Ovis aries: one gene and its partners. The protein of the gene in region 6 interacts with the protein of the main gene of each other region in a biochemical or structural test. Links are inferred from orthologs where the notes say so. Each region holds a gene or a part of one and is shown on either strand. Other genes may lie near its edges.

Region 1 (2,508 bases), on a different chromosome or scaffold from region 6:
CTGTTCTGTGTGCCACCCCACCCTTTTTGGACCGGCACTGTACCCAGGGCGTGTCCTTTTCCTGGCAGACGGCGGGCTTTCAAGGGGCCAAGCTCACTCCCAGGGGGAGACTCCGCTCACTTCTGTCCCTGGACGCTGCACTGATCATAGCTGGTCGCGTGGCCAGGTGCAGGGCCCGCTGAGGGGGGAAGAATGCTTGCCCGCTGAGAGCAGCTGCGCTGTCACGGGGCAAAGGGCGACAGGCCTCAGCATCTCCCGCTGGGCAGGGAGTGAAGAGTCAGGAGGATGGTCCACAGAAAGGGCAGCTCCTGCCACTCACGGGTCCCTGCCTCAGTTTCAGGGAGGTCGTGCGTCACCATGGGGAGCGTGATACCCGACGGGGCCAGGTGGGACGCTGACTGCAATGCCTGCCAGTGCCTGGACGGGAGGGTCGCCTGCTCCAAGGTAGGCACGGCCTGGCCGCCCTCATCCTGGGGCCGCGCGGACCGCCGCCGGGCACCTCCTGAGCTGCGCTCTGTCTGTCCCTGCAGGTGTGGTGTGGCCCCCGCCCTTGCTCACTGCACAGAGGGCACAGTGAGTGCCCCAGTGGGCAGAGCTGCGTGCCCATCCTGGACACCCAGTGCTTCGTGCACCCCTGCACCGGGGTGGGTGAGTGCCGGTCCTCAAGCCTCCAGCCCGTGAAGACCAAGTGCGAATCTGACCCCTACTACCAGGACAACTGTGCCAACATCACGCTCACCTTCAACAAGGAGATGATGTCGCCGGTATGGGACACTTCTGGCTGGCTCTGGAGAGGTGGGGTGTGTCCGCTTGCCCTAAAGCAGAGACATCACGAGCTCGATCTCTTCCTTAGCCTGGATTCTTGTCCTTCACCAAAGCTCAGCTTGCACGCAGCCTCCCTTTCAAGTAAACAGCAGTCTTTTTTCGTTCCGCTCCCTTACACACGTGTGGATTTTAAAATATCATTCTAGGGTCTCACCACGGAGCATATTTGCAGTGAACTGCGGAATTTGAATATTTTGAAGAACGTTTCTGCCGAATATTCGCTTTACGTAGCTTGCGAGCCTTCCCCTTCTGCAAACAATGAAATGCATGTGGCCATTGTGAGTATGAGACCCATTCACGCCTAGTCGTTTCACTGAAAGTAGCCCAGAGAGCTCACTTAGCTAGTATCCAGATGAGCAGATACATGGAAGGAGAGCTTGATGTACATGTGTATTAGGAGCTCAGTTGTATCCAACTCTTTGCAACCCCATGGACCATAGCGTACCAGGCTCCTCTGTCCATAGGATTCCCTAGGCAGGAATAATGGAGTGGGTTGCCATTCCCTTCTCCAGGAGATCTTCCCAGCCCAGAAATCCCCAGCTGGGTCCTCCCCCACTGTAGACAGATTCTTTCTTGTCTGAGCCGCCAGGGAATGGCATACATGTATGGTCAAATAATTTTGAGTAAAAGTGACTGGTGAGCATCCCTGACCCCTGTGTCTGATGCTTCCTTTTTCAGTCTGCTGAAGACATCCGGGATGATGGAAACCCTATCAAGGAGATCACCGACAAAATCATAAATCTCGTCAGTAAACGAGATGGGAACAGCTCGCTGATTGCTGCCGTTTCGGAAGTCAGAGTTCAGAGGCGTCCTCTGAAGAGCAAAACAGGTAGGTGGTGGGGTCAGGGTCCCTTTCTGAGAGGACCGTCCTGTCCAGCTCATCCATAAGACCAGCACAACCTTGCATCCAGGGAAACCCCAGGCGGGAAGTTAGCTGCTGATTCCCTGTTCAAGGATCCCCATTTTTAACTAGCAAGAAGACAGAGGCCGGCTGACATGACAGGATCCCACGGCTGTGGGCAGAGGTGGCCTGACTTGTCCCTTGCCTGCGGGCTGCCTCTGGCTGCAGGCACCGCCTGGGCAGAGTGTTGCCGTACCCTGAGTACGCATCTTCGTGGAGCCTGCTTGTGCTCCGGGGTTGGGGAACAGTCCATCCTAAGAGCGGCTTTGATGAATGGCTCAGTGGCCCTGCAGGGCAGCGGGAGTGCCCCGGGGATCCCTGGAGCATCACTGTGCTATAGCTGGCACGGGACCCCCGGGGGCGTTGGAGCCATGCGTCCCAGGGCCTTCTTTCTGATGATTCTGAGAACCACTCATCTCATGAGCTGTCTCAGTAGCCAGACGCCCCTCCCCACACAGAAGTGTGCACGCGTACGGGCTGCTGTTTTCCCTGGTCTCTCCGGGGAGGCCGGCAGGGTCTCTGAGGACACCCGGAGGGACGATGCGGGTGGGGAAGGGGCTGGGGCCGCGGTGTGGTTCACCGGGCTCCCCGCCGCCGCCCTGCCGTGCAGATTTCCTGGTGCCGCTGCTGAGCTCTGTGCTGACCGTGGCCTGGGTCTGCTGCCTGGTGACCGCCTTCTACTGGTGCGTGCGCAAGCGCCGGAAGCCGGGCAGCCACGCGCGGGCTGCTTCCGAGGATAACACCACCAACAACGTGCGCGAGCAGCTGAACCAGATTAAGAA
Region 2 (4,040 bases), on a different chromosome or scaffold from region 6:
TTACGTAGTTTTAAATAGGCTTTTGAATTGCTTTCTGAAGAGTACACAAAATGTAGTGCTCCTAGTTACAATTATCTTTCCCCATTAGGAACTTTAATTCTGGTGTAAAACTTATGTTTGAAGAATGGTAAAAGTAGGACTGTTACGGTGTTCATGAGCCCTACACACTTGCTTTTGGTGGGTCACTTGTATTTTTTTTTACTGAGTTTGTATAAAAACAGGTACTATTTGAATAAAAACTCGATTTTTTCTTCTGCTTTTAAAACATTTTCATTGGCCTAGTAAGAAGTTACTGTACCAAATGTTTGAGCTGTCGACGGTGTCTCATTTTGTAGCCTTTTGGCACCTCCTGTTTCTCTTTAGCAGTTAGGGTGCCAACAGGTATTGGCACCCTAGTTTCTCTTGACCCAACAGACTGTCTAGTTTGATTGCTCCTGTTTTTTCCCCCCTAGTTTCCCACTTCCTTTGCCTACTAGGTATAATGCTAGAGTGTAATTGTCTTTAGTAGGATTTTGTCGTCTGATTTAATTTTACCTAACAGACGTAAAATTTTAAACGCAAAACTTGCAGGCCAGGCTCCCCGTTTTTTTTTTTTTACTAAAGCATCATCCTTTGCAGTTCTACTGTGCCCACTCCTTCCCCCAGGAGACTTCATATACTTTTCCTTATGTCGGCATTTTTTCTTTTAGTAGGTGTAACTTTTGAAATACTTTCATATAAGGGCAGATTGATACTCTCGATTCAGAATAGCGCGAGGAAACCTTCAGCTCGAGTACGATTCTTACCAACTGTGAGGCTGAATGTGAGGAGTGAGGTCGAAGGAAAACCGATGACACTGAAAAAGCGTGGCTACTGTTGAGCTTATCAAACCCGAATTTAAGAAGCGGTAGGAAAATGGTGAATCGCTGTGGTGCCAGACCAGCATCTGGGTCCGGCGGGTTACGCCGCGCCTGCTGCCCCTTTCCGCGGCGGACCCGGAAGGGCCTGTTCGCGTGAGGCGGCGTTTAGAGCCAGCTTCTGTCGGTCACTCAGCTGAGCGCCGAGGACTGAAGCCCGCCCAGCTGCTTCCCTCCGCCTGACTCGAGAGTTCCTTTTAAACTCCGCAAGGGAACAGCCCAGCGCGCCTCTAGTGTGCGCGGCCCCGCCCCTCGGGCGGCCCGCTCTTCCTTCTCTAATTGGCCGCAGTGTCTGTTCATCAGCTGTGACGGCAGGGTCGGCTGCCGGAGCCCCGCCCTCTTCCGAGAGCTCCGAAAACAATTTTAAGATGGCGGCGGCGGCGGCGCGGAAAACAATGGGGCCGGGCCGGCGGGGACAGGCCGAGGCCTGAGGTGGGCAGCGAGCGCCTGCCCGGGTTGGGCCGAGCGGGGCCAGAGGAAGACCCCCGCCGCGCGCGAGCCCGTCCCGCAGCTCGCGGGACCATGGCGTGGCAGTGAGGCAGCCGGGCAGCCGGCGCGGAGCGGGGCGTGCAGTGCCAGCCGGCCCGAGAGGCCCGCCTCGGGCCTGGCCTGAGCAGCCCGCGGCCCATGGTGCTGCCCACCTGCCCCATGGCGGAGTTCGCGCTGCCGCGGCACAGCGCGGTCATGGAGCGCCTCCGCCGGCGCATCGAGCTGTGCCGGCGCCACCACAGCACCTGCGAGGCCCGCTATGAGGCCGTGTCGCCCGAGCGCCTGGAGCTCGAGCGCCAGCACACCTTCGCCCTTCACCAGCGCTGCATCCAGGCCAAGGCCAAGCGCGCCGGCAAGCACCGGCAGCCGCCCGCCCCGGCCCCGGCCCCGGCCCCGGCCCCGGCGGCGGCGCCCCGCCTCGATGCCGCCGACGGCCCTGAGCACGGCCTCCCAGTCGCGGTGAGTAGGACCCGGGGAGCAGCCCGGCCTCCAGATGCTGCCCCTGACGCCGCCCAGGGCGCTTGGAGACTGCCTCAGTGCCCGCAGCGCCTTGGGTCTCGCTCCGGGGAGGCTAACGTGGCTGGGACTCAGCGGTTGTCATCTGCGGGAAATGGCACTGTGGCCTTGCCTTGGCAAACAGGATCCCGAGGAGCGACCGTAAGGCCCCGGCAGGGAAGGCTGGTGACCGGGCGGTGAAACAGTCTTCTTCCAGACTTGATTTCGAAATTCTGAGAACTCTGTTTTGGAACAGACTGGCATTAAAGTTGCCTGTGATAATGGCTTCATTTATTCTGCAGCTGTTCTTTGAGTCCTTGCTCTTTGCAGGGTCAGGGCTTAAATATGGAAATAAGACGGACTTCAGTTGACCAACTGAAACTGTTCTGAATGGAAAGTCAAGAATCTTTTGGAAATCTTCGTAAAGGCATAGTGCTGCTCATTGAGATGTACAAAAGTATTCTTTGTTTAGGCAACTCTGGAATTTGTGATTACAGCAGTATTGTTGGCAGTCCCAGTTTTAATTAGAAGCCTGTTTAAAACCTCTGATGATACTAGAGTTTGTTGGTAAATTATTACACCGTCTTGGGCTCTCAGTAGTGCTAGGGAAGTTTGTTGGTGAGAGGTTTTCCTTCCTGAAACTACTTATAAGGTTCGTTGCTATTGTTTTCTCGGTAATTTAAAGTTTAGAACAGATACTACCAATTTAATTTCTGTGTATTTTTATAATTCACGCCTTTGTTAGGTCTCACTGGGCTGTTGGCAGTACTCTTCCCTAATTAGTATTCAGATATTTAGTCTCTAACCCTTTAAATGCTATGACCCTCACAGGCCCTATGCCCAGTTTGTATTATTTTTCTTATTCTCTCCCACATCAGTCTGGACTGCTGGACATCTCATTGCTTATTGTTATCAATTCTTCTATAGTCAGGACTTCTCATCCTCACTTTTCTTCTCTGTAAATTGAAGATGTGTTTGACTTCCTCTGGGATTCTTGTAAGATTCAAAAGAAATGAGTGTCCAGGTGAAAATACTTCATAAATGGAAAGGCTGCCTGTAAGACCCACTGTGTCACCTCTCAGAATCCTGACATCCTTCAGATCCAGTTCATCTTCCTCTTTAAAACCAGTTTTTATCCTGCTCCAGAGCAGTTAGAATCTCCTTTGTCAGAACATTAAAGAAATGCATTGCCTGTGCTATTTTGAATATTTTAAGCACATCCTTGCATGCTACCTTAGAAGTGTCTTGGAAACTAGACTGTAAGCCCTAGGAGACAGGGAGGGGTGCAGCTCAAAGGAAAGACTTCAGGTTTGGGGTGGTCATTCCATTTAAGTAAATAGTGAAAGCCCATTAAAAAAAAAAATCTCAGTTTTACACACAAATAGTTGCCTTGAACACCCGCTAGAATATATATTATTAGTGATTCAGTTTGTTTAAGGAGAGTTAAGAATTTAGGTCCTCTATGATATTTTTAGCCCTAAACTACTAGAGAGAGGCTGGACATGCTGTTTGCAGAGAAATGAGTTCTGATTGTGTTCGAACTTGAGCCTGGCCTGTTAGTCACTCCTCTGGGTGATCGGGTGTGTCGTGCTGTGTTGGTGTCTTATCACAGTAAACCTTGACCCATGGGCTTCGTGAGCTAAACTTTAGAATCGAATTGCTCTGCTGCCTCCCTGCTAGGAAGAGGGACCCTGTTAGCTCCAGGCTCCACATGCTTCTAGGTGAGCGCTTTGGCTCTGGAGTGAAGTTTTAGGAATGGAAGAGGAGTGTTTAGTAGAAGGCATTTTAGTGGCTCCTTCCGTTCAGAGAGGGGGCGAGTTCTTGCCTCTTGGCCTTGAGAGAAAGCACAGCTTTGCCCAGAGAGATGGAGGGGAGAAAGTGATTATTATTTTTGACAATTCTGTATATGTATTTGATCTGATTAATATTCCTGAGTGAAAGTCGTTTCCGGCTCTTTGCGACCCCACGGACTATAGAGTCCATGGCGTTCTCCAGGCCAGAATACTGGAGTGGGTAGCCTTTCCCTTCTCCAAGAGATCTTCCCAACCCAGGGATCGAACCCAGGTCTCCCACATTGCAGGTGAATTCTTTACCCGCTGAGCCACCAGGGAAGCCCAGTACTCCTTACATAAGGACTATTATTCTTATTTTTTCCAAAAG
Region 3 (3,978 bases), on a different chromosome or scaffold from region 6:
CTGCTAAGGACTGCAGGGCCTACAATGACGTGTTAGTCGCTCAGTCATGTCTGACTCTGCAATCCCATGGACTGTAGCCCGCCAGGCTCCTTTGTCCATGGAGTTCTCCAGGCAAGAATACTGGAGTGAGTTGCCATTTCCTACTCCAGGGGATCTTCCCAACCCAGGGGTCAAACCTGGGTCTCTTGCATTGCAGGCAGATGCTTTACCATCTGAGCCACCAGGGAAGCCCAGGGCCCCACAATGCTTGCTCATATTTCCCTTTTCACATGTATCTCCTTGTATTGAAATCAAGTGGTGCCACCATTAAAACAAACAAACAAACAAACAAAACATGCTGTTAAAAACCAGAAGTAAAACACTGTAAGTCATCAATGGGTTTTCATATCCCTCCCTGTCTTTATATATAGGTAGATTTTTTTCATGTGGTTTTAATCACAGATTGGATACAGTATTGTTTCCCTAGCTTTTTAAAGTTTTTTTTTTTTTTTTTGCCAGTGTGTTCACACTCATTTAATTTGCTCTTCACATAAACCTTGTGAGTTAAGAAATTTAATTAACCTCATTCACGGGTGACGAACCCAAAGACTCAGCTGGAGGGGCCGAAGCAGGTGGTACCCTGCATGGTCAGGTGGGGCTCACTGTTCCTGGAACTAATGACCCGAAAACTGGTCTGTCTGCACACATGCAAGTAGGTGTGTGATAGGTAACACTGGATGCTTACCATTTGCCAGGCCCCAATCCTAAACGCTTTACGGGTGCGTTTTTATTTTTTAAAAATATTCTCCGATGCCTAGTTAAAGGCGTGGCACAGTGCAGGCGCTCAGTGTGTTTGTGGAATGAATGAAAAGTGAACAAATATGAATGGGTGGATGCGACCTCCATAAACGCGACTGCTCTGAGATCTTCAGTTCGCACTTCGGAGACCCCGGCCCAAGGGTTCGGCGGAGCGGGCCGACCTCAGGCCGCAGCTCCCGGCCCGGACTTCCCGAGTCCCGCCAAGCACCGCCCAGGTGGCCTCCAGGGTGGTGAGAAGCTCGGGCCGACCAGGCGCTCCGGCGTTATCACCTCAGTCCCCCGCGCTTTCCCTCGGGGCCCGGGAGCTCGGGTCTGCAGCGGGCGGGGCCGTATCCGCCTAGGGGCGCGGGCTCAGGGTCCACCCCTGGCCGGCTCCCGCCGCGCACGCCCACCTGTCGGCCGCGCATGCGCAGCGCACGCCCGGCGCGCCCGGCCTCCCCACGCCCCGCGGAGCGCTGCCAGTGCGCAGGCGCGGCGGCCGATGCGAGTGTGTATGTGCGGGCGAGAAGATGGCGGCGGCGGGGGAAGCAGCGTGAGGAGCCGGACGAGCGCCGAGGCTCATTGAAACGGGCCACCATGGCCCTCCGCAGCCCGCAGGTAGCCGCCAGCCGGCGCCCTCGGCAGGAAGAGATCCCGGGCCCCGGGCGGGCGGGCGCCGGGGTGGACGGGCGGGCGGGCGCACCCCGGCCCTGAGCGAGCGTGTGGGAGTGGGGGAGGGCGCCGGGACACGCTGCCCGGGACTAGGCCCCGAGCCTCCCGCTGCCTCCGCGCCTCGGCCGCCCTCAGCCCAGCCCGGCCCGGCCCGCGCCCGAGCCCGCCGGGCCCCGCCTCGTGGGGGCGGCAGAGAGGGGGCGCCCGGGCCGGCCTGGAGAGGGTATGGGGCGGGGGGCGCGAAGGGGTTAACCTCAGGGCTGGACCGCGGGGCGAGCCGGCGGTAAGGATGGGGCCCTGGCTGTCCCGGGAGGCGGCCGAGGGGCTTCGGGAGGCCCGGGAGCGGCAGAGCCTTCCACGCCCTCCGGTTGCCTCTCTGCCCGCAGCGAACCAAGATTTGGGGGTGCACCGTTTTCCCCGTGGCACTAAAGGTTGCTTTCGCAGTTTGATTGACCCCGTTTGGGGGGCGGGGTGGGGTGGGGTGGGGGTGAGTGAGATTGCTGGTTTTCCGGCTTTTAGATTCGAGTGACTGAGGAGTAGCTTAAGGTTACTGTTGCAAAGGGGACTCGGAATAACTCGCCAGGACCGTACTTTTATTAATACCTGCCTTTGAGTGACATCCTTTGCTTGAATCCGTCTCAGCCGGTCTGACACTATACTAACGCACACTGTCAGAGCGGTCTCTCAGGCTTAGGGGACACTTAAGATAATCCCGCAGTGGAAAGAAAGAGGAACGGGCACGCTTTTAGGGAGATAGTTTAGAGTTGAACTCAGTCCTCCCCACTCTCCCAAATACAGTTGCTCTGTTTGAAAATCAGCATGTGGTCTTATTTGTCGGGCTTGCTGTGTAGACCACTGATTTGTCGACTTCCAGTCCCTAGAAGTTGTGGCACTTTTTTGTATCAACTCTGTGTGCTGTAGTATTAACTTTGTATCAAATATAGGGAAATGGAACAAAGTAGCTATTGGAAAACTGGCGACCGGTAAATCATAACCCTCACTGTAAGCAGTTGGTTTTTGTTGCCCTTTTGGGAATGGAGTAGGTTTTAATAACTTGTAATTAACGCGTGTTGCGGAATTTAAGACGCGATAATTTAAAAAAATGACATCTTACAGGAAGCTGCAATTTTGTTAAATTTTTGGCGCTTCAGTTTGCTCTACAACTTTCCGCCTTTAACTTTTTGTTCACTAGTACGTCTGCTTTTGAAAGTAACTCAGTAAAGTTATATGCACAAAAAAAAGGGCTTAGTGGTTGAATAAGTTTTACAAGTGTGTAATTCAAAGATTTCTTTCCTTAAGAGATTTAGTATTTGCCTTTTTCTCAACTTAAATTTTAAGATGATTAGCTACAAAATAGGTACAAGGTTCATTGTGAACGAATGGGTCATAGTCGTAGCGATTTTGAAATGAAAGAAGCATGTTTAGGCATAATTCACTTCATTATCGTAAGCACCAGTCGCAGGGCAAAATTGAACTGTTAATGAGCAGTGATAATATGTAAACGTGATTGTAATTTCGTTTGCTTTCCTTGTCCTAGTGTTTGTTTTATACAGCATAACTGCCTGCATGTTGTACATCTTTTGAAAATTAAGGTGGCAACAGTTAGCTGAACATAAATGTTAGCAACACTTTGGGTTTATTCTTTTAAAGTATGATTGAAATGCTTTTAAGTTCTAGCATAGAGAAGGTAGGAAAGGAAATGGTATGATTTCTCATACTTCAAATAATTTTCTTTTTAGAAGAGTAGTAATGAAAACAGGTAATGAAATCATGTATGTGACAGGATTTAATGGTTGGATCCTGCTTAAGTCAGGCCAAGCATTTTAATAATTTAGTTTTATTCAGTTACCTCCTGTCCTAAGGGTACTGCCTTGGTCATTGCCATTCATTAATTAAAAAAATATTGATCGATCGATCACCCTGTGCTAAAGCACGATGATGCATAGTACGTGTTTACTGTGGGGGTTAACAACCACAGATTAGCAGTAGGGGCTCTATTTTATTTTGTTTTTTTCTTAGGTTTTTTTAAGGGTCCTATTTTAAAATTGGATTCTTAAGGTTACAGTTTAAAACATTTATAGATTATATCTTATTTCCATAGTATTGATTGAACCTTTTCCCCTGGATTGACGTGAAACTGAAAAACTTGGAAACATTTCTAATGTGGATAGCTTTCAACACATTTTAACAAACCCACATAATGAACTTTGACAATTGAGGTGAAAGTACATCTCTAATTAATATTGTTGTCAGGAGGGAACTGATGAAATGCTTTGGGATAATTAATTTGAACTGACCAGTGCTGTCTTAAACCAGAAGAAGCGTTTGTGATCATTGCAGTTGTTGTTAGTGAAATCTCCACAGTAACGCTTCTTACACCCTATTTGAATATCGTGTGGCTGCTCCTGTCCTGGTCCCCTGCAGCGGGCTCACCTCAATCTTTTCCTTACCTAGGATAGAATAAAGTGGCCCGTCGTTTTACACTGTGGGATTTCTTGGATCCAACTTAGAGCATATGGTAGAGTGTTA
Region 4 (3,500 bases), on a different chromosome or scaffold from region 6:
AAAACTGTTTACAAAGAATATACCTTAAGAATCACCATCATAAGAAAGCTAATTTGAGGTAACTTCTAGTAACTTGTGCCATGGGGTCAGGCCTGTCAGTACACAGCCCATCAGACCAGCTGCACTTGGTAAATGAGATCCCTCACTACTTGATCCACACAAATCATGTTTCACTCCAGCCCTCTCCACTGCACACAACCTAATAACCCCTGTCCCGGGGACAAAATTGATGATGAAATTTGGTATTAATGATTTTTCATAGTAATAGGAGCCTTCTCTCCATTTAATAATACTGTCCCATTACCAAGATTTCTAATATCTTCTGTTAAAAAAAGAAAAACTGGTTTGTTTTATTACCACACAACTGAAGATTAATTTTGCGATGATACAAAGACTGTGAGGAAAGCTTCACCGCAATTAACACGGATTTGTAAAATCTCTCAGGTGAAGAGCAGACTGAAGGTACTCACTTTTGTTGTCTTTGTATAGAGCGGGGAGGAGAGCTGGTGAATAGGCAGGCCCACGACACTATTAGAGTCTGTGACACTGTTACTGTGTGTGCGTTCATCTTCCCTGCTGCTGTCGTCAGACTGATCAAAGTCATCACTCTCCTGGTCCATTTCCTCGTCCTCCTCATCCTCCTCGTCTTGCTCACCAGCATGTTCTTCGTCTTCCTCTTGCTCTTCCTGGTTTCCAGAGGAGTCCTCCTCTACGGAAATAAACCGGTTGTTGTTCTCCTCCAGCTGCCCTTGCTGGGACTCGCTCTGGCCTCCAGGCCTAGGCTCCGCTCCCACGACTTCCCCATTCCTCGCCGCGTGCTCCTCCTCTTGGTGTCTGGGCTGCTGCTCCTCCTCCACCACGCGGTTCATCTGCTCCTCATCGGCCTGGCTTGAGGAAGGGTTACCTCTCAGAGAGCCTCCAGTGCGTCGTCTTTTGCTGCCCACAGAGAGCAGTTCCTGATTCATTTCCAAAAGCCAGCTTGCTACTTCTTGGACCTTGGCTAGGCTATCAGAAGATGCAAAGGTTTTCACATTCTGTAGGGAAAAATGAGGGGGAAAGAAAGGATTTTACAATCTACATTATCTTCTACTTTTATGTTATATGTCTGCACTCCAAATTTTAATACAGATTGTAAAAAGATTAGATGCCATGCAGACATTAAGATGTTCTTTTGAAATCAACAGAAACTTTAAATTATAAAAGTTATGAGACTTTATAAAGACACACAAAAGTCATATAGTAAATAGCTTTATTTTAATCTCCTTTTAAAAATAATTTTAGAACAAAGGTTTATAGTTTATTTGCTTTGACCAACACAACACAATCTAACCAACAAAATATTCTTAAATTTTAGATCAGTAGCTCATAAACTACACCCTTCATCAAACTTCCACAAAATGTTAAAAAGTATATCAAAAAAAAACCTATTCAATGCTCAGTTAAGTACAGGAAATGCTGAGATAAACCAAGATTAAAAGGCTTTTTTTTTAAATCTTAGGAATTTTCCAAACTTTTCTGATCACAGAAGTTTGCCTTTAGACAGTTTTCTGAGTTACCAAATATAATCACTATGATTTTTGCTTTTCATAATGAATATAAATCAACCAGACATCAAATAAATTAAAAAGTTTATTTCAAAGAAAAGAAAAGGAAAATAAAAATGTGTAAGTTCATACCCTCTGACCCAGTCACTCCACTTCTGGCAATCTATCCTAAGGAAGTATTCCTAAAACAGAAAAAAAAAGTAATGCAGAGGATACTCACTGCAGCTTTATCCACAAAAACAAAAAGTAAAAATAAATGCAAATTAAAATAATCAAAACCCAAACATTCAAGACAAAGGAGCCCATGAGATGAGACATATTTAGTATATCTAAACTAAATACATCTAAACATGTTGCTCATAAAATTTGTGAAAACATGGATATTATACTATGCTAAGGGCAAAATCCAGGACATTATATGATCATAGAATGATTTTTAAACTGCATAATGACTAGATTGAAAACAATATATCAAAATACAAACTGCATTTAGGCAGTGGTATGATAGGTGCTTTAACTCAATTTTTACTGTATTTCTCAAATTTTATGTATCAAGCATGTTTACTTTTATGCTTTTAACAGTGGCTTTAAAATTTGATCTGATATAGAATCTTTTCATAACATTCCTTCTTAGATTTCATCCTTCGCAAATATCTACATGGACATAATTGAGGTTACAGAAAATAATGCCAACATATTACACAAGTTCATATAAAATTCCTTTAAAAAATATCTTTAAGGATTTCAAGAGAAGGAAATACAATATTCATTTTCTATCATGTCCCAAGAGTAACTACTTTATGTTACAATGATCTTGAAATAAAACAGCCTTATCCACTTTCCTAATCCTTGCCAATAGATGGTCACTCCCGGAAAGGGTCACAGGTCTCACTGCGAGCTTTAAGATGAGGTCAAGAAAGTCAAAAAGATAGTTTTAAAACAGTGGCATTTCATTTTCTTTTCTGTAATCAACTATTTCTAAGAAATAAGCTACAGTTGGGGGAAAAATTCTAATTACACTAGAAGTTCAAATATAGAAAGAGTTTTAAAGATGGACCCCTGAGACACTCCATCATCCTAAAAAGAAGAGGAGTAGCCAACAAAGATGGCTAAGCAGGAAAACCACGAAAGAGTGGTGCTAGGGAAGCCAAGTTAGGGAAGCTTACCCCGCAGGAGGAAGTAAACGATGACAAGTATGGCTGATGGATGAAGCAGGAGGACGGCAAAGAACTGACCACCGCATTCAGTGACATGCAAGTCACTGCTGTAGATGCAGTTTCTATTAGCTGAAGTCTGATACCGAGAAAAGTAGAATTAAGAGACTGGGAAAAGAGAATAGGGGTGGTGGGCATGGACAAGGTTGGAGTCTGATGCAAAAGGGGACCAAAAAAAGGGAGTGGAAATTGGTAGGGAACGTGGTGTCAAGAGAAGATTCTTTTATTCTTTAAGACTAGAGAACTAGCAGAATATCTATACACTGACAAGAATGATCCAGCACAAAACAAAAAAAGTTGATCATGTAATCAAGATACAGAAGAAATAGTGAAATTATATCCTTAGTAAGTAAAATGGGATGATGAGAAAGAGTACAAAAGTTAGAAAAAGGGATAATTTTTAAAAAGGATACTATATTCATGGTGATAGGTGGAAAAGCAAAATAGTATTAAATAAATACTTTAAATTTATCTCTTTCACCAAATTTCTTAATGTGGGAACAGTTGGAAGGAAGTCAGGTTAAAAATAACATACTGAAAAACAGTGACCTACATAAATGAAAAATTCACACACGTATACACAGGCACACACGCGTGCAATACCTCTATGTATATAACAGGAAATCTGCTATACACAGGTTTTCTTCAAAGCTACAATCAAAACCTTGCTTTAGTAACTGTGTCTAAAGTTTAGCTCTTCTAACACTAACAAGAACATTTTTTACTTGGATACTGATGCAAA
Region 5 (3,500 bases), on a different chromosome or scaffold from region 6:
AATGATAGATTCTCAAATTCAAAGCGAAATTTTAAATGCTCAACCTCATATAAAACTCGGTGGGAATAACATTATTTTAAAAGGCTAGACTTAATTCTATGACCCTAAAATCATATATTACTTCTTTCTTCTCTAAAAAGAAGTACCATGGACCCAAGGACCAGTTACTAGGAGGCTGGTCAAAGGAGGTGACTGCCTGACCTTTTCTCAACAGCCTGTCCTCTTGTTGGAACAAGTGCAAGTGTTTAAATAACCGAGTTACCTTTGATTTCAGGATAGTAGAGGAAAGGTTTTGGTTCGCTAGTTTCCAAATCAGATTTCCTCCGAAGCTGCACGAACACAGAGGCTGGTTTTGTAATGTTGACATCTTTATACTTTGGAGTTTTGAAGACAATGGCAAACTGCAGGATACAAAGATACAAATGTTGGAGTAGGACTACATTTCTTTTAAAGCAGTGGTACTCATTAAACACATTCTTTATGCCCAGTGCTTAGACACAGTGTCTTAAAAAAAAATACAACACCCTAGAGAAAGTTACAACCTTGGAATTCTGTACCCATATATTTTTATTATATTGCCAATGTGAAATTGAAATATAAGATTATGCCAATGTACTGCAAATCCTCATTAGTTCACTTGTCTAAAGTTTCAAATGTCTTTCAGTGTAAATAACCATGTGAATAAAATATATTGCATACATCCTCTTTTCCAAATTAGCCTTAAAAGCCTCCAAGATTATTTACAGCAATATCATAAAGACATAATGGAAGGAGAGAGAGGAGGATGGCCAGCCAACAACCACAGCGAAAAACTAAACCCTTAAGGGAGACACTGTGACTGGGTCAGCAACTGTGAGGTGGGGATGGTCGAGGCTCTAGACACACACAGGGCATCTGTAACACCTCTAAGACAGCCTCCTTGATATCTGCTAGTATAAGAATAGTCAGATTTAGTTGTATTTCATCCACAAAATTAACGTTTAATCTAACAGTTACGCACAGAACCTCCCAGAGTTTCTTTATGCTATGTAAACATGAACACAGAATCTTTTTTTATATACACTTTGTTTCATATCTATCTTTTAAAAAATTTCAGTGTTGTATCTTTGAGACCTTTCCGTTAGTCTGTAGAGTATTCATGCTTTCTTAATAACTGTACAATATCCCCTCACATTGACTTAACTGGTCACTAGCTGATGGGCACTTGGATTTTTTCCATTTTGTGTGTGTGTGAAAACTGTATTCCTCAATCACTCAGAGTAATTGTTAAGCTGAGGATTCAGCATTTTCATCTCTTTGTCATATACTCAAATGTTCCTGGGAGATCTTAATTTATCATGATGATATCAGCCTCAACTAGAAGACTCCTCCTGTCAACACTTTTCATTAGAATACCCTTTTAACAAGTCTCCTCAGGTTACTCTGGGAGAATACCATTACAGACTAACTGTGTTTCCTCCAAAGTCATATGGTGAAGCCCCAACAGTGTGGCTGTATTTGGAGACAGGGCCTTTATGGAAATAAGTAAGGTTAAAAGATGTCACAAAGGTAAGGTCCTGATTGGATAGGATTAGTGGTCTTAAAAGGAGAAGCAGCAAAAAAAGAGAAAAATAAAAAGACACGACACCAGAGAGCTTCTTCTCTCTCTGCCATGTTAGGACATAACAGGAAGGTGGCTGTCTGCCAACTCAGGAGAGAGCCCTCATCAGGAGCCAACCCTGTCAGACCTTGATCTGGGACTTATGGGCTCCAGAACCATAAGCAAAAACTGCTTTTGTTTTATTCACTCAGTCTATGATATTTTGTTATTAGTCTGAACAGACCGGTGAAATACATAACACATGTCTACTTAAGGATTTGAGGGTCACAGCCTTGCATCTAGGCGATCAGATCCTGACAGAGCTTTACCCATAATTCTAGGTAGCTTTTCTGGAACAACTCCAAGACATAGTGCTCTTTGATGAAAGTTAAAGAAATACTTATCATTTTTCCTTTTTTATTCTTGGGATCCAAGTACTGAATTTCAACAAAGCAGAAAACATAGTATCATCTTCCGTACCATCATCATCCACTTACTTGTCTATGAACATCTGTGGGGGAAAAATCTCCAAATCCTTCCCAAATTCCACCATTTTCCTCCTCTTCATAAAATCGAATCTGGATGTCATCTGTAAACAGTCACGTTCAGGTGTATAATTTCACACATTATAATAGCATTCGTAAATGTGATGAAAAATAAAGCTGGTTCTAGAGTCTACCTACTATGTACTTAACCTTTTTTTGAAAGTAATTCATATAAAATAGACTTCTGAATTTATTTAAAATTTTGAGTAAAATTTTTTTGTCACCATAGTAATGGGCCCCAAGTTTCATTTACAAGGACAGAATTCTAGATTTACCTATTCAATCTGAGTTTTCTCTTAATCAATCTTCGACGTTCCCACTTCTCCAACCCTAAACCAATTCACTCCCCAGGAACATGAAAGATAGTGAAGAATATCAGAATCCCAAAAGACGGTTCACCTTGATGCAGATTTACATAATATTTAACTTATATAAAGTTTACTATTTGGCAGACACTGTTCTAAGTGATTTTATATGCATATATTAACTGATTTCATCTTCAACTCTGTGATGCAAATGTACTATTAATATCCTCATTCTGCAGAAGAGAAACTGGAGTTCAAAGAGATTAAGTAACTTATCTAAGGCTGAACAGTTAGTAAGGGGAGAGACCAGGATTTGAACACGGACACTGAAGGTTCAGACCCCAGGCTCTTAAACATCCTACTATGCTACCTCTCTACAATATTCTAGTAGTCCCTGTTGAGAAACTGCTAAATTATGTGTTGGTCTAGACCCTTTGGGTTAAATTAGAATGTCTTAATTTCACACTTCAGTCATGGATTCTACTCCTGCAGAAATATGACAATATAACTCAGGTTGGCATCTCCCTGGCTTCACGTCCTCATTCACAGGGAGGCATATACATTATTGACTTGTAAAAACTAAATGTATATTTCTATTTAAATAGAATTTTAGAAATATTAGGGTTGGGTAAGACATTCATAGGACCACCCTGGACCTAGTTATTCAGATTCTTTAAGCTGGGTATAAAACTTCTCTTAATTAGCCATTTCAATGTAATGATGATGACTTAGAGTCACATTTACAAATAAAGGTACTTAGATTGTGTTTACTCATAGTATGCACACCCAGGAATCTAGAAATGCATAATTACTTGGATAGAATTGGTTAAAAGAAAGCTGATACCAGAATCTGCAGAGAAAGTGTAAACATTTTGGGGACAAAGACATACACCTTTATCTTAAAATCTGATCTCATTTTTTCTGACTTTTTATCTCAGAGCATTTGGCCTCAAAGGACAATTTTCTTTTTTTAAAGCCATAGTTCTTTAAATAGGAGGTAAGTTTCCAGTTATACAGCTGCTTACTCTGAAAATGCTCATCAGAGTAAGCAGCTGGGTAACTGCTTGTAGT
Region 6 (3,500 bases):
GCCTCCCCACACTCCGGAGGTGAGGCTCTTACGGGCCCTCCCCACCATGGGGGACCTGACCGGCCTTGGCACAGGGGCAGGGTGGGCGGCGGGGCCCAGGCTCACCCGTGGGGCACTCGCACACGAACTCGTTGATCTTGTCCAGGCAGCGGCCGTTCTGCAGGCAGGGGCTGCTGGCGCACTCGTCCGTGTTCACCTCGCAATGCAGGCCCTCGTAGCCTGGCGGGAGCGGGCTGGTCAGCAACCTGCTCCCCGGGGCCGACCCAGCCGCCCCGCGCTCACCTGCTCTTCACTGTGCCCGGAGACCAAGCTTGAGCCTCCCCAGATAACTGTGGGAAGGCTGCAGCCTGGGCGGGCACGGAGGCCAGAGGCAGAGGCGATGCGGCTTCCCCACTCCCAGGGTCGGGCGGGCGGCCGGCCGCGTACCAGGCATGCAGATACACTGGAACTCCCCGATCTGGTCCAGACAGGTGGCGTCGTTCTGACACGGGTTCGATACACACTCATTGACGTCGATCTCGCAGCGCGGGCCGGTGTAGCCCTGCAGACACTGGCACTCGAACGAGCCCAGCGTGTTGATGCACTTGCCCGCGTGCTCACAGGGGTTGGCACCTGGTGGGGGCGGCGGGGGGTGGATGCGGCATGGGTAAGGGGCTGCTCTGGGAACCCTAGCCTCTGGAACAGTCGGGGGTGTGCCTGCCTCCCCCATCAGACCCGCCTCCCCCCATCGGACGACTTCCAACAGGTTCCCCAGCACCCTGGCTGCCCGTACCCAGCGAGCACTCGTCCACATCCTGGCTGCAGGCCGGCCCCGTGTACCCCGAGGGGCAGGTGCAGATGGCCTTGCCGTTGACGGGGTTGGTGTCGCAGTTGGCGCCCTCGTTGCAGGGGTTGCTGATGCAGGCGTCATTCAGGTGGCACAGCAGACCTGGGCACGGCGGCAGGGGTCAGCGGGAACGCCGACTGCCCACACCCGGCTCCCCAGGGAGGGCCCCCGCCAGGACACAGCCAGCGACCCTGTGGAGGGCCCTACAACGCCAGAGCTCTTCCGGGAGGCTCGTGGCAGGCCGCTTCACTCCAGGAGGCCCCTCCTGGGGCTCCCCCCTTACGGGCCCCACAAAGCTGCAGTGTGAGGCCCCTCGCCCAGGCCTGACCCCCCAGGACCCCCCGCCTGGGGGCAGGCCGGGCGCTCACCCGTGCGGCCGTGGGGACACTCGCAGTAGAAGGAGGCCACGCGGTCATGGCAGGTGGCGCCCCGGAAGCAGGAGGCGCTGGCGCAGTCGTCAATGTTCTCGCTGCAGTCCGCGCCCGTCCAGCCGTTGACGCACACGCAGCTGTAGTCGCCGTGGGTGTTGTGGCAGGTGCCGCCGTTCTGGCAGGCATTGGGCATGAGCTGGCACTCATCCACGTCCTCTGTGCAGTACTGACCTGCGGGGGGCCGGGACGGTCGGTGCCTCCAGCCCCCTCCGCCAAGCCAAGACCCTCACCTCGACCAGGAAGTCTTCCTGACTTCCTCCAGCCCCGCCAGCCAGAGCCAGCCTTTCCCCGGCACCCCTGGCACCTGGGGGCTCTTGCCTGGCCGCTCCGTGGGCACAGGTGCACTGGGGTCCACGCTCACCTGTGGGCAGGGCCTGCACCCTGCTGGCCAGCATCCCTGTGTCTTGGCCAGCAAGCTGGCCTCAAACTGGGGACCTGACTGTGGCCAGGCCAGCCTGGGGCCAGGCTGCAAATGGCTCACACAGATGGGCTGGTGCCACCCACGTCTGTGCTGCTCCAGGGGGTTTGGGGGGGGCCTCAGACCCTGGCAGGGGGGCAGTCAGCTGCAGGTCACAGCATCCTTCCCGTCCCATATCTCAGCTCCCTTCTGCCTGCCCCCCACGGGGACAGACTCCAGGGGCAGAGGTGCCCCCTGCGCCGCCCGCTGTGCACACCTGTCCACTCCGGGGGGCAGCGGCAGTTGTAGGTGTTCACGCCGTCCACACAGGCGCCTCCGTTCTTGCAGCTGTTCCCTGGACAGTCGTCAATGTTTTCCTCGCAGTTCTGGCCAGTGAAGCCTGCAGCAGGGGCCGGTCGCCCGGTCAGGCCTCCCCGACGGGGCCAGGCCCTCACCGTCCTGTCACGCTCGCACTGGGCTCTGGCACCCTCCTGGCTGGACCCAGGACACCCTGCTCTGGGCGGAGAGCTGCTCTCCACAGCCTGTCCTGTGACGCCCACCGCCTTGGAGCCCTAGGGGTCCCTGCCCCACACCCTGCCCTCCCCACTCCTGTGACCGGGCCGCACACCCCAGAGCCCACGGTCAGCACATTCCTAAGTGATCGTTTTCTAAACGGCCGGCTGAACAGACAGAGACCCACGGTCACAGGCTCCCCGGGGTTCTGTCAGAGAAGACATCTGCGCTACGGCCTCTGTGCTGGGCACTGCCTGCGGGCCCAGCCCTGTGCTCAGGGTTGTCTGCACACCCCCACGTGCGGCCGTGGATACCCCATTTGACGGGGCAGCACTGGGCCTGGGAGCCCCCTCGCACGGAACTGGAGCAGGGAGACAGAGGGACCCTGGCAGGTAGTCGGGGGTGGGCGTGTGTGCAGGTGCGGCCCCCAGACTTCCCAGAAGCAGAGGCGCAGGCAGGGTGGGAGCCCCCCACCCTCTCCCTGCCCTCTCCCGGCCAGGCCAACTTCTGCGGCACCCCCTCCACGTCCAGTCAGTTAGCTATTAATCCGTTCGACTCCTGCTGGTTCAATAATCAACCCAGAAAGGTGCGTCTGGCAATAGCCAAACCTGCAGCCAGTTACTAATTAATGCCCCTCCCAGGGCGCCTTTGGACCCCCTCCTGCCCCTCTCTCAGAGGCCCCCCCCACTGGAGCCTGGCGCCCACACTCCAGTCCCTCCTGCGTGCGGCAGGCCTAAAGCGCCGCCTCTCCCCAGCCTCAGCTCACCTCCGGCCGGTGGGGCTGCACCTGCTCCACGCGTGCAGCCCCCTCTGCCAGGCCCCCACGCCTCCCACCGGCCCCCCCAGCCCGCACCACAGCCCCTCCTGACCCTGGGGTCACACAGCCCACCCCCCTCAGGAAGACATCTGAACCCAGACGCTGAAACAGCCACATAGCCCAGCCGGGCAGTGGGTAGTGCCGGGGCGGGCAGGTGGCGAGGGGAGAATCAGGGACCGGAAATGCACACGCCTGGCGTCTGCACGCAGAGGCAACAAGCCCAGGGCTTGCGGGCGGGAAAAGCACTTCCTCTTTGCAAGGGCCGGGCTGGGCCGAGGGCCGTGTGGGGGCCAGAGCGACCTTTGGGTCAGTCCTGGGTCAGCCGGACCCTGGGTCCTCCCCTCTCCAGCAACCCAAACCCCACCGACCCCACCGACCCCACCTCCTCGTCGCCCCGCCCCAAAACTCCCTCCCCTTCCCAGTCCCTGCCTAACCACCCCCATGCAAGTGACAGACTGGAGGCTTTCGAACCTCTTCGTCATTATCAGTATTTTTAGATCAGCAGCAGCAAAACGG
Region 7 (3,500 bases), on a different chromosome or scaffold from region 6:
TCGCCTTCAATGAATGAAACTATTATTCTTCAAATTAGTAGACAAGCACTTATCCTGCCTTTTCTTCATAGACTACATTTTAAGCAAACAGCTAACAAACACAAAAGTTAACAATAAAACAATCAGAAACGCCACAATTTTGCAACCATGATGGACTACTAAAACCATTTGGTTAAAGTTTCCTGAGGAATTTTGTAACTGTTAGATTAGACTAACAACTCAACTTACTATAACCAGTCTTAGTGTGACAAGAAGTGGGATAACCAGACAATAAGACTTCTGATCTGACAGAAATGAACATACGCAGAACCAGCTAATTCTAAAATGAAGGTCTTTAGGTCTAATCAACAGTTTATAGGAGATATGAGAGACAGAGGAAACACGTATCAGTCAGATTCAGAATATGGAAACTGCATAGGAAAAAATCACCCAATTTCAACAAATAAATAACGGAGGAAGGAAAGGCTAGTAGAAAGAACAGAAACTATTTCAGGTTAAAATATATGAACCCTGTTTGGATCCAAGTTTGAACAAGCCAACTACTGAAGACAACAAAACAACAAAACCTCAACTGTGAAAAGGTCTTTTGAGACAGTATGATCAATCTGCACGTGGACTGGCCAGTAGATGGCATTAATGAACTATCATCAACTTCTGTTGGGTATAATGTTTAAAAGGAAAATTTTCCGTTAAGAGTCACCACTACAGAAATGATTGAAAGGACAGGATGTCTAAGATTTACATTAAAAAATTCCAGCAACTGAAGGAGGAAGAAGAGTTGGTGGTGACAGAAATGATAAAATAGAATTGGTAAAATCTGTTGAGGTCTGGTGGTTGGTCACCTTATATCAACACTACCCTTTTCATGTAAGTTTGAAAGTTTTCATAATAAAAAGTCAAAATAAAAAAAGAAAAATGGGTATAGAAGTTGAAATGTCTAATTCAAACAGCATTTACCGGTGAAAATCTAAAAATGTGCAGAAACAGCAGTCTGCCAGACAACCATGTTAAATTTTTTTAGGTTTTCATGATGGCCTTCCAAAGTCCATTTGATATAACAGTGCTTCTCAAAGAGGTGTTCTGATATTCTGAGTGAATCAATTCTTGTGGAATAGGAACCATCTTGCACACTGCAGGGTATTTAGACACTCAATGCTAACATCACTCCCTCTAGTCACTGACAGCAAAAGGAAACTCCCATTTCTCCTAATGCCTCTGGGGAGCAGTGAGGAAGCAATTCTGGTTAAGAACCACTTTGCTACACCAGGTGTTGCCCATTTTTAATTAGAGAAAAAAGACAACAAAGCAGCAGCAATAACTGAATATGACTTTTTCAGATAAAGCGAAGACCAAAAAAATACTTTAAAAAAATGAACTGGCTACTGAAAAGAAAATTTTAATTTAAAAAATAGTTGAATTAGTCTTATTAATTCATATTGGGAGTTGAGGGGGAAAAAAGAAAACTAGTATACACACGGTCAGCATTTTTCAGTGACTGCTTCTTTTTGGAAGGTTTGGAGATGACTTTTATCCGTTTGCTTAGGAACACACCAATGTCATCACTGTTGCCATAGAACATCTTTACAGACAGCATGAAGTGCTTTCTCTTGTCTGAATCAGATATATACAATGTTTTGGCTGTGCAATAGTTCTGTGAAAGAAAAGGATAAGTCTTAATAGCATCAAAACCCTGTCAGCTATGTACAAATAACTCAATGAGGCTATGGCTAAGTCTGATCAGACTTAAGGCAGTAATTCCACTGAACAGCTGATAAAACCAACTGTAAAAAGTACTGAAATTGATCTCTGAAAACAAAGTACAAAATCTTCCTTACTGAGTCTACAATACCAACACTGTATTATTCTGTTTCCCCCTCTCAAAAAGACTTAAAAAAAAATCTTTTATTGTTTTATATAGCTCTGCATCTATTTACAGAATTATCAAGACCTTCAGGCAATAAAAACATTTGCCCTGAAATAAAAAGAAACACAAAATATAATGCTACAAAAGTCTATAGAAATATCTGAATTGTAGAATTTGAATTATAGAAACAAAACAATACTAGCAACAGAGGTACAGGCCATGTAATTCTTAAAAATAAAAATTCAAGTGCTAATTAGGGTAAAAATTCATGTTGCATAGCTTATGTAGCTTCAACTGTGTAAGACAAAAACTGAGAAAATGAATATTTAACAAATTATTTTTAAAACATCAGATCCAAAATATAACTATATAGTCAAATACCATGACCATAATAAAAATAAGGGCTACATATACTAGAACTTTGTTGTAATAAATATTAAAATAAGAATGCAACATGCAAAATAGAATCCCTCCTTTCCCAATAATGACTAATCATACCATTCAATGAACATGCTATTGAAAGAAAACAATATTATCTTAAATGAATGGTTGTTAAGTAAGACAGGAGTAAAGTGTCACTTTCTCAAGCTCAGCATCCATCTCACTGCTTGGTCCATCTTTGCCTACCTGGAACCAAACTGACCTCATTCTTGTATCTTGATGGTCCAAGCATATGATTATATTGTTCTTTCTGCCTGGAGTGCCTTCTGCTGACTCTCAACCAATCTTATTCTCTACAGACTCCTCTAATAGCATTTTTCATTAAAACTAAGTATTAACACATAATTTTGGCTTAGAGACACTGTTGCTAAGTCATTTCAGTTGTGTCCAACTCTGTGCAACCCCATAGACAGCAGCCCACCAGGCTCTCCTGTCCCTGGGATTCTCCAGGCAAGAACACTGGAGTGGGTTGCCATTTCCTTCTCCAATGCATGAAAGTGAAAAGTCAAAGTGAAGTCGCTCAGTCGTATCCGACTCTTAGCGACCCCATGGACTGCAGCCTACCAGGCTCCTCTGTCCATAGGATTTTCCAGGCAAGAGTATTGGAGTGGGTGCCATTGCCTTCTCCAGAGACACTGTACTTCCCTGTAATTAAGTGTTTTTAAGTACTAGCTGATACTCAAGCTCTCAGGTATTATTTTCTGCAAATTTCTAGGGCTTGGGGAAATGATATAATGGCAGAAGTTGATGAAAGATGTACTAAGCCACAATGCTGAGAAAAGCAAGTAGACATGCTGTTTGGTATTACTGCCCTCAGAATTGCTGGAAGCAGTTAAAGCTAGCAATAAAGTTCAATTGCTATTGTTTAGTTGCTAAGTCCTGTCCAATTCTTTTGCAATCCCATGGACTGTAGCCTGCCAGGCTCCTCTGTCCATGGGATTTCCCAGGCAAGAACACTGGAGTGGGCTGCCATTTCCTTCTCCAGGGGATCTTCCAGATTCAGGGGTTGAATCCACATCTCTCGGGTCTCTTGCACTAGCAGGCAGATTCTTCACCACCGTGTCACCTACGAAACAGCTGGGCTTCTCACTACCTATCCAATTATCAATCACAATTACAAATGTCTAGGTGTACAGCTTGGAGACACACATAACAAAAATCCATGAGATGTGACCAAAGCCTCTTTGTTCAACCA

The links.
Region 1: the proteins of NOTCH1 (region 6) and JAG1 form a complex in vitro, tested with the Homo sapiens proteins (3 studies listed by BioGRID and IntAct, with this or other methods). The link is inferred for Ovis aries from reciprocal best matches to the Homo sapiens genes NOTCH1 and JAG1.
Region 2: the proteins of NOTCH1 (region 6) and MAML1 form a complex in vitro, tested with the Homo sapiens proteins (2 studies listed by BioGRID). The link is inferred for Ovis aries from reciprocal best matches to the Homo sapiens genes NOTCH1 and MAML1.
Region 3: the proteins of NOTCH1 (region 6) and USP10 form a complex in vitro, tested with the Homo sapiens proteins (2 studies listed by BioGRID, with this or other methods). The link is inferred for Ovis aries from reciprocal best matches to the Homo sapiens genes NOTCH1 and USP10.
Region 4: the proteins of NOTCH1 (region 6) and FBXW7 form a complex in vitro, tested with the Homo sapiens proteins (2 studies listed by BioGRID and IntAct, with this or other methods). The link is inferred for Ovis aries from reciprocal best matches to the Homo sapiens genes NOTCH1 and FBXW7.
Region 5: the proteins of NOTCH1 (region 6) and NFKB1 form a complex in vitro, tested with the Homo sapiens proteins (2 studies listed by BioGRID). The link is inferred for Ovis aries from reciprocal best matches to the Homo sapiens genes NOTCH1 and NFKB1.
Region 7: the proteins of NOTCH1 (region 6) and RBPJ form a complex in vitro, tested with the Homo sapiens proteins (5 studies listed by BioGRID and IntAct, with this or other methods). The link is inferred for Ovis aries from reciprocal best matches to the Homo sapiens genes NOTCH1 and RBPJ.

What each region holds. Positions count from the first base shown.
Region 1 is NC_056066.1:3,767,296-3,769,803, reverse strand, and holds part of JAG1 (protein jagged-1), read left to right. Parts: intron 1-334; coding exon 335-444; intron 445-530; coding exon 531-764; intron 765-971; coding exon 972-1,103; intron 1,104-1,503; coding exon 1,504-1,654; intron 1,655-2,336; coding exon 2,337-2,508. UniProt on the Homo sapiens protein: Ligand for multiple Notch receptors and involved in the mediation of Notch signaling. May be involved in cell-fate decisions during hematopoiesis. Seems to be involved in early and late stages of mammalian cardiovascular development.
Region 2 is NC_056058.1:1,375,313-1,379,352, reverse strand, and holds the start of MAML1 (mastermind-like protein 1), read left to right. Parts: upstream 1-1,240; 5' UTR 1,241-1,523; coding exon 1,524-1,844; intron 1,845-4,040. UniProt on the Homo sapiens protein: Acts as a transcriptional coactivator for NOTCH proteins. Has been shown to amplify NOTCH-induced transcription of HES1. Enhances phosphorylation and proteolytic turnover of the NOTCH intracellular domain in the nucleus through interaction with CDK8.
Region 3 is NC_056067.1:10,408,622-10,412,599, forward strand, and holds the start of USP10 (ubiquitin carboxyl-terminal hydrolase 10), read left to right. Parts: upstream 1-1,178; 5' UTR 1,179-1,203; coding exon 1,204-1,395; intron 1,396-3,978. UniProt on the Homo sapiens protein: Hydrolase that can remove conjugated ubiquitin from target proteins such as p53/TP53, RPS2/us5, RPS3/us3, RPS10/eS10, BECN1, SNX3 and CFTR.
Region 4 is NC_056070.1:5,437,071-5,440,570, reverse strand, and holds part of FBXW7 (F-box/WD repeat-containing protein 7), read right to left. Parts: intron 1,727-3,500; 5' UTR 1,677-1,726; intron 1,035-1,676; 5' UTR 966-1,034; coding exon 471-965; coding exon of another isoform or gene 441-470; exon of another isoform or gene 1-440. UniProt on the Homo sapiens protein: Substrate recognition component of a SCF (SKP1-CUL1-F-box protein) E3 ubiquitin-protein ligase complex which mediates the ubiquitination and subsequent proteasomal degradation of target proteins.
Region 5 is NC_056059.1:22,569,264-22,572,763, forward strand, and holds part of NFKB1 (nuclear factor NF-kappa-B p105 subunit), read right to left. Parts: intron 2,169-3,500; coding exon 2,077-2,168; intron 402-2,076; coding exon 263-401; intron 1-262.
Region 6 is NC_056056.1:2,983,845-2,987,344, reverse strand, and holds part of NOTCH1 (neurogenic locus notch homolog protein 1), read right to left. Parts: intron 2,055-3,500; coding exon 1,932-2,054; intron 1,429-1,931; coding exon 1,195-1,428; intron 929-1,194; coding exon 773-928; intron 613-772; coding exon 427-612; intron 220-426; coding exon 106-219; intron 1-105. UniProt on the Homo sapiens protein: Functions as a receptor for membrane-bound ligands Jagged-1 (JAG1), Jagged-2 (JAG2) and Delta-1 (DLL1) to regulate cell-fate determination.
Region 7 is NC_056059.1:46,439,513-46,443,012, reverse strand, and holds part of RBPJ (recombining binding protein suppressor of hairless), read right to left. Parts: intron 1,652-3,500; coding exon 1,477-1,651; intron 1-1,476. UniProt on the Homo sapiens protein: Transcriptional regulator that plays a central role in Notch signaling, a signaling pathway involved in cell-cell communication that regulates a broad spectrum of cell-fate determinations.